Oryzias latipes: one gene and its partner. Each later gene encodes a partner of the first gene's protein in a complex. Links are inferred from orthologs where the notes say so. Each region holds a gene or a part of one and is shown on either strand. Other genes may lie near its edges. The genes, in order: mta1 and cdk2ap1.

Region 1 (4,294 bases):
CCAAGCAGCTCAACGCGGAGACTGCACACATAAGTAGGAGTGCATGAGGCACGCACAGCTGATTGGCCTGATCCACTCATGTGATCACAAGCAGAGTCCCCCGTGTTAGGCCATGGTAATTGAAGCTTCCATATGGTATAGATCAGATGTTGCCTTCACCACAGCATTCCTGCAGCACAGTGACTTCCTTTTTGCATCCACACTGAAAACTGGGCTAATTTGGACAACTGTTTGGCATAACACCCACTCATGTAACGTCAAATAAATGAAATTCAATTTGCTAAATGACAAAACAAATTACATGTTTATGGTTTATACATTGGAGGATTTATTGATGATCTATTGTCTAATTTTTTCTTGCGTGGCAGGTGTGACGCTCTTTGCCAAAGTATACAAGAAAACGAACTTTAGCAGGAAACAGAAAAATTATGAAAAGCGTTCACTATTTTCTTACAGTTCTTTATATTACAAAGATATGAGCCATTATATAATGAATATATTACTATATTAAATTAGGGTGAAATATTTCATATTTTAAAGTAAAAATTGGATTAAAATTAAACATTTTAGCATAATATTAATCATGTTTATCCAATCACCAATTGGCTACTATTTAAATCTAAAGTCTGTAAAGTTATGCCATATTTAAACAACAATTTCTCCAATTTATCATTTTCTGTTGCTTCTGAAAATGTTACTTCTATGGAACTTATTTTTGTTTATAAAAATAATCCCTGAGTTAATTTTAAAAAGTGTGAAAAATTACTAGTTTTACTCTATTTTGGTTGCACGTGCAGTTAGTTAAACACTACGGCAACTCTTTAGGGATACTTTTAAAACAAATAAAAAAGATGATTGAGAAGGAGATTCTTAATTTGACAATTATTTCAGAGTTATTATTTATAATCAAAACTCCTATAACTACATAATATATAGGGAAACAGCAAATAAGTACATTTATTTACATAAGCACAGGTGATGTTCGCATTTCTATATCCAAGAACTTTTGTTTTTTATTTTAAAGTATCGCGATAGTTTAAGTTCTATGCCGCAAATAACTGAGGCAATGTTGGGATTTTCAAATAATAGTCGAATTATCTTTCTTGACAAGCAAAATTGTGATTTTAAACAAAAGTGTACATTCAATTGTCAAATTTGAAGTTGACATTTTCATAAAAACGACTTACATAGACGCGTTTAAGGAAGATTACGTCACTTTCTCGTTGTATAAATTACACGTTTTGGGAAATATGTCATGTGTCGCTACTTAAAGGTAATATTTGTTGAAATTGTGAGTTCACTTATCCACGTCCGGGTGCCCAAATTTTGAGGTTTCGAAAAAGAGGTGTACTGTCTCTTTAAGACGTCTCTGGCAGTCTGTTTCGTATTGATCAATCCACCATTTTCCAACACACAGCAGCTCCGGCAGCGCCACAGAGAAGAGAGCCACCCCTCTACCTGGAGAGGAAGCCAGGGACCGGGGCGCAGTCATGGCAGCGAACATGTACCGGGTTGGAGGTAAGCGCACACGGGTTCGGCTCTTTGGAACACCCCCGTCTTCGTTATTTTATGGCGGGCTCGCCATTATTCACAGAGCGAGATCTTTTATTTCCCAAAAAGCTAAAGAGCTTTGTGCCTCCACAGATGAGGATGGTGTGAAGAGGAGGATGGTGATGAAGAGTAGTAGATCTTTTTTTTTTTCTAATCACGAAATGTTGGTAGCTTCTTTTGTGCCTGTGTTTTGTTGCTCAGCGTGGAGCCAAACAACTCCTTCAGTGTGGGGATGCGCACTTTAGTGAAATGCTTTAGGTTCTCTCCTGTTTGAAGGTATCATGGCGAACATTTTCCCCAAAGTTTTGCGTGCGTTTAAACTGCTTTCTGCTCGGAGTAGCAGCCAGGAGGACTTCACTGACTGACCAACGGAGACAGGTAAAGCATCCATGAGCTGAAGGAGAAGGAGGCTGCTGGGACAAAAAGTTCAATTCTACCAAAAACATTTGGGGAACACCAAACTGGCAACTTTAGTGATGGTTTTCATGCCCATCCATCGCTAAGCTATTTTATTTCCATAATAATTTAAAAATATTTTTAAACAGGCAATTGATTAAAGTACCTAATTAAGATTCCCCACCCACTCGTTCTCTGCCTGTGTTCAGATTCAAATCCTACAGGGGAAAAAAACACGTGAAAGTTCACATAACAAAGTCTAATAATGTCATTATAAATTATTGTAAATATATTAGCCCTCTTGTTGTGGTTTAAATGTTTAAAAATACCCTTTAAAATGTTACAAATGTCTTGTTTTGTGTGTTAAAGGTTTAAACAAGCAAAAAACAACAACAGGTTTTTGGTTTAATTTTAGAAATTAGGAAGTGTTTTTTGGGATTTAAATAAATTTTTTTTTCTATTATTGTAACATAAGCTATCTTGACAACAGTGGTCATTATAGAATAATCCACACAAAGATGCTTTTCTAGTTATTAATTTAATAATGTGTGTTTATGTTTTTAAAATGTATCAAAAACTTGTAGACTGGTGTAAAAATGATATGTGAACTAACTGAAAAAACCATTAATTTGAAACATTTTGATACCATAATATTTATCTCGATGGTACACATTTCTCTGTGTTAGGACTTCATAAAAAAGTTTTGTAAAGATACATATAATGATGCTCAAAATTAATTTAAATCTTATTTTTAATGTTTTTCTTTCACCCCTAAATCCAGTTTGAATTAGATCTTCTTCTTTAAATGTATTGGCATTGAAATAACACCTGAATTTGTCGGATTTTTGCATTACTTACCCTCCTAAACGTTCATCAAAACAAACACTGACTGAATTAGTTCACAACTAGAACGTAAATATAGTGTTGAGTGGGCGATTTTTCTGCGAGTAATTTAGATGGGGTGCTGTGTGGGTTTTTGAACAATTGACGTTCTTTGGCTTGGATGAAGTTGTCATTTGTCTCGAGATGTGTCATCGTATCCCCGAAGAGCTGGCAGCAGGTGCAGCAATTTACAGCTGAGTTTATTTATCTAATCTATGTATTGATATTCTTTGGTCATAACCGCTTGTACAGGCTGAGTAACCACATTTTGTAGTACATCTAACCAGTGTGTGCACGTCTGGGAAAGAGGAACGATGATGAAGAAGAATTACCTTCACTTTATGGATCTATTTGCTTGTTCTGACCAAAAAATCGTCCCATCAAATGTAGGAGTTAGATGGACTTCTATGGATCAGCTATAGTCAAATTAAACCAGATCTACCTGACTGGCAACAGGATTATGCCCAGATCAGGGTAGAAGGTTAACCCTCCCTCTGCCAAAGTGTTGCCTAATTTGGTCCAAACCTTCATCGTCATTCTCTAGAGGAGAATCCATCAGCAGGGCTTAAATTCCTCATCTGAGCAAATTGTAATTAACTGTGCAGATGTATTATTTATTTATTGCCTTAATGCACTGAGCTTGTATTGGGTTGCCTCTGTTTTGTTGCACCGCAGCTCAGGAAATGTAATTAAATTTATCAATCAGGGTCTAAGCTGTTTACACAAACTCCCTAATTTGTCATTTTGGAAAAAGAAAAATCCATTTAGCTTCTTATAAAATACTTGAAAACATCTTAGGATTATGAAACTTACCCAATTTAATCAAAAATCATTAAACATAAGTCATAAAAATAGGACGTCTTAATTAATAACTGATAGGAGTAATCTAGACTTAGCCAATAATAAACCCTGCCTCTCCTGAAACCGGTTCCAGGTCATCATCAGAAGAAAGCAGAGCCTTAAAGAGTTGCCTTCAACTTTGCAAGACAATGCTGCTGAACCATCTTAGGAAGGACTTCCTTTGAAAAAGACTTGGACAAAAGCAGGCTCCTCTGGCCTTCATGTCTTTGTTTTGCACAGCGCAGGCCACAAGCCACTCATCCGGTGCACACAGCGGTTTTTCCTCAATGCTTCGCACCAGAGAAAGTGTTAATTACCAAAGATGGGCTGTGTGTAAAGCATAGAAGCAAACACAGCTTCTGCTTATTGAACTAGAGTTCAGGAGACATAATTTATTCGTGCAAATGTGTTGCTTAAAGGAAAATGACTGCAGAGAATTTAGTTGCCTTCGAGAAAAGAACCAAAAGGTGCTGAGAGTTAAGTGTGTCAATCATATATAGGGTATTTCAGAAGGATTCAGCATGCTTCTTGCTTGAACATGATCTTCGAAAATTATAGTAGATCCAGCGTCTACAGAGAATGGCATCAATTTTTAAATTTTAAATGGCATAGTGGTTTGTTTTAT
Region 2 (4,411 bases), on another chromosome or scaffold:
GTGAGGGCAGTTGTGAATAACAGCTGAACGACCCGTTTTATCGGGACTTTCAAAATAAGATGCACGCATTTCCTGGGAGCCCCAAACAACCATCTCAGAGTTCTCTGGTGTTTTTATTTACCAACTTTCAAACTTTAATGGTACCGTTTGAATATTGGCCAGGAGAAAACAAGTGGAAACCAGCGGTTTGTCAAAGATCCAGACGCAGAACCGTTCTTCATCAGACAAGGACGTTAGCTTAACGGAAACCAGCGTGAAACACGTGCGGAAACAGGTGTTTTCTGCGCTTTAACATCTGCTTTTTATTATTGAGGCCTCAACTAAAGTAGGTGGAGCCTGGCGGCCCCTATGTCCAAAACGATTGACAGGTTTTCAGGTGGTAGGGGTGTGGCCTTCGGATAAGCTCCACCCCTGATTGGTGAGGGTGGTTGCCACAGAAACAAGGACTCACTACAAAAAAATAAAAAATGGAGAATTGAACCATTGTCGATGGATGTGGTCACACTCAGCCCAGGTCTCAGGTACAGTCAGCGGTAGAGCCGCCGCCACCGCGTTTCCACGAGCGCCAACAGAAACCCTGAAAGACTCGCCACACCTCTGACGAGGGTTGGGAAGAAGAAGATGTTTCTGCGGCGTCTAAAGGCGGAGCTCACCTGTGAGAATCCCAGAGATGGAGGTCCGTAGTCGCTCAGCAGGGGTCTGTAGGACTGCAACGTGGCCAGGTTAGCCGCCGAGGCCGACTGAAGGTTCCCAACTGCAGGCAAAACATCCGCATCATGAAAGATGATACAAGAAGACTGTACTTCTGTTCTTTCACTGCTAAAATATACCAAACATGGAGCCCGTTTGTCTGACATTGGTGACACAAAAACAACCGATTCAGAGCTTTCTATCAAATATTTTGTTTGATTTGAATTATTTTAGTCCTAAACGCAGCAGAATCATAAACACACATCTGTAGTTTGGTTTCCTCACACGTGTGCGTCAAAACCCCAAAAAGCCGTTTACGGAACAGCGAGGCTGAAAGCCGTCCCTGCATTTGCTGACGATGGATGAGGATTTTAGAGAAATATTACCTTTGTAGAAACAGAAACTTTGGTTTACTTGGTAAAATGAGAGAAAAAAAAAACATCCGCTAGTCATTTTAGAAAGTACGGACATCCAAAAAATGATCACAGATGAATTTTTATGATTATTTTTAACTTTTAGGCTCTGATAAATGCAAAAGACTTGACCACATGACCTCCACACCATCCGTCTTTAAAATGAAGCTCAACTCATTAATGAAGACAAACTATTTTAAAAATGGCGGCTTTCATGCTGGTTTTATCTCCATAGCAACCATTTCCTTTTTTGGTCCCCTGGGGGTGGCGAATCCGTCGATGTAATTTGTAGAAAAATTGGCAAAAGTAAACTTTTGGATTTCCTTGGCAACGGAGGTTTATCATTAACCACGCCCCCATTCCTAATGTGGTTTTATTGTATATCATATTGTTTCATTCAGCTTGACGCAAGGAATTAATGTATTCAATTTCCACAATATTCTGGTAAGAAATGCGCGACCAACAGGGGAACGCCAGTTTTGCGAGCTCGCCCCGCCAACACCGTTCCAAATCTTTAAACTTTAAAAACCAACATTTTTCCCCCCATGTAGGTTCAAAATGATGAGTAACGATAGATCAAAATCCCCAGGAGGACTTTAAATTTGTAGACGGCGATTTTTTATTTTTATTTAAGCCCCTTCAAAGGTCAACGAAACTTTGGTTGTAGACTGAAGCTAGCAGGGAAACCTGGTGAGGATCGCTTGAGCTAAAAGTTTATTTTCCCATTTTGAGGGAAAATAAGGAAATCGCCAGATTTCAAACCACAAAAGTGTGTCCCAGACTGCTGCAGGACACACTGATCATGTAATGTTTGATAATGTTTATGGATTTAGAATGTGAAGACAAAAGACGAATGAATAATTACAGATATTGTCACTGGTTCATGCATTACTGTATATATCAATACAATAGTATGAAAAGTGCATCATTCTGACTCTAAAATCAGGAAATAAAATTAAGTTGTTGCTAAATAAGAGTGAATTAGTCATTAAAAAATCTGAATACTAATTAATAGGTGTGAAATTGTTAAATGAAAAAAATAATGAAAACAATTCAGTATTTTCCACGATGTATCACTAAATTAAAGGTTTTCTTTGTTGTTTTTTGGCTCCATGAACTCCAGCCTGCCTCCTGCGCCTGCAGTATCGGCCCCGACCGGCAGGTGTCCTCGAAGAGGCAGAAACTCCTCCGAGGCGGATCAATCGAGCAGCTCCGACCGAGGAGCATCATGGAGGAAACGGAACAAGGCTGGCTCAAGAAGACATAACCGATACATTTTTGTCACCGTGTAACGGCACCCGCCGGGCGGGACCGCGACCCCGGACGGCGGGGAACCCCGTTTTCGGAAGCGCCGCGCGCTCGTTTCTCATCCCCGCCGTGTTTCCGCGCCGACTCGACCCGCGGATGGCGCCCTTTTACATTAGTAATAATGGCGGATATGAATTAGCCTAGCTCCCAGGATCTGACCCTATATATATAACTGGACAAAAACTACAGACACAGTCTTTCTCCAGGTATTCTCCGAGACCCCGAATTTAACGCTCGATGTAGCGGGCGGGTAGTTGGCTTTTGACCGCCGTTTTGCTCTTACCCTGGTTCCCTGAAGTTCCCGGAATGTGCTGATGGACGTTGGGTTTGTAAGACATTCCCAAAGACATTGTAAATTAAAGAAATAAAAATGACCCGAAATTCAGTGAAGCGTCTGTCTCTCACTTTTTGTTTACAACAGCGGCACCGGCAAATATGGCCGTCACTTTATATTGACACCCACTGGGTTTCCAGAGCCGCTGCCATCCGCGCGGCACAAAACCACTTTTTAAACATCTTTTTACACATCTAGCGCACGCGCGCGGCGTCGCGCGCGCGCTTATGTGACATTTAACCCAAAGTTTGCTCCAAAAAAAAAAAAAAATATTTTTTTTTTTTTTAAGGTTTCAAGATTAAAACCACTTGAAGGTTTTAAACTCAAACCTTCTTAGTTTTTGTTTTACACTTTTTTTTTTTGGAAGTTTTGATGAATGAACTTAAATAAATCCACCACGCGTTTGGTGCACGCGCGGGTTTGGAATTGCTTGCAGGGAAATAAGGGGGACTGGTACCTGCTTTGGTCTGGGGAACCAGAACCCCCTCCCCCCCAGAACCCACACCAGTCTTTATATCCCATCAGGCCCCGCTGCCCACATGGTGGCCCCCCGGTACCGGCTGGGTCCCCCACATCTTCGCCATTCAGAAATGTTTCCAGAAGAAAAAAAAAAATGTAGTTTTTGACTTTTATTTTAATCATCTGTTAAATAATCCAATGTTAACTTGCTGGGAAATATTAAAAAAAATTAAACATTTCCCATCATCCTTTTCATGTTTTTTTAAATATCACTATTTAAGACAAATTTTATGTTTCGTATGATGTTAAAGTGAATAAAAGTAAGATTTTAAAATGTTTTGAAAGTTTACTTGAAATATTTAAATTTATTGCACAAATGAATAAAAGCTTGGAAAAATATTTAATTTCTAATTTATTTAAAAATTACATTAAAACCTATATAAAATTAGAGTTTTTGATATTTTGCATTTTATTTTTTTCTTTTACATATTTTAGTAACCAAATTTTGGTCAATTTTTTTTTTTTTTACAATGTAAAAGTAAACAAAAATACTTTAAAATAAGTACATTTCCTCAGGTTAATTCTTATTCATTGCTCAAATAAAAAAGAAATCTTTAAAAAATATTTTATTTTTAAAGAAATCTTTAAAAAATATTTTATTTTTAGTGATTAACATTGTGTTTGTCTTAAGTTTATTCTGTAACTTAAGTTTAACCTAATTTAGGTCAAATATCTTCATTTAGGATAAAAATAAGCCTTAAATTTACTGAAAGTTTGTGTCAGATGTCAAAAATAATTTCAAATTTAAATACCGCTTTATATCCAACATCACATTGTTTAAATCTACTTTTACTTCCCAGCCTTTTAGTGTATTTTATGTAATAATTTTAGATAAATCAATTAAATTAGAGCACAAAATAATGAGTTTTTACAAAATCTCATTGCTAAAATAAAAACAGTGACAGAAAATCAAAAAAAAAATCAAACATTTTTCTTTTAGATTTCTTCCAGTTTTGCTCACAGAAATTTAACTGAAGTCGTCTAAACATCGACTTTTTCTTGACAAACAGCAGCTTCACTGAAGCACCAAAGCTAGACGTAAATGGAGCTTTATTGAGCATTGCACTCGTTCATATACACGTCCCGTCAGTAGTGCATGGCGAGCAGCGGCGCTGTTCCCGTTGAACACAGCGAGACCCTCAACGCT

The links.
Region 2: mta1 (region 1) and cdk2ap1 share a complex: the UniProt entries of both Homo sapiens proteins name them as parts of the nucleosome remodeling and deacetylase (NuRD) repressor complex. The link is inferred for Oryzias latipes from reciprocal best matches to the Homo sapiens genes MTA1 and CDK2AP1.

The regions. Positions count from the first base shown.
Region 1 is NC_019880.2:4,694,646-4,698,939, reverse strand, and holds the start of mta1 (metastasis-associated protein MTA1), read left to right. Parts: upstream 1-1,254; 5' UTR 1,255-1,273; intron 1,274-1,388; exon of another isoform or gene 1,389-1,417; 5' UTR 1,418-1,490; coding exon 1,491-1,518; intron 1,519-4,294. UniProt on the Homo sapiens protein: Transcriptional coregulator which can act as both a transcriptional corepressor and coactivator. Acts as a component of the histone deacetylase NuRD complex which participates in the remodeling of chromatin.
Region 2 is NC_019870.2:2,597,201-2,601,611, reverse strand, and holds the start of cdk2ap1 (cyclin-dependent kinase 2-associated protein 1), read right to left. Parts: upstream 2,940-4,411; 5' UTR 2,762-2,939; coding exon 2,695-2,761; intron 755-2,694; coding exon 654-754; intron 1-653. UniProt on the Homo sapiens protein: Inhibitor of cyclin-dependent kinase CDK2. Also acts as a component of the histone deacetylase NuRD complex which participates in the remodeling of chromatin.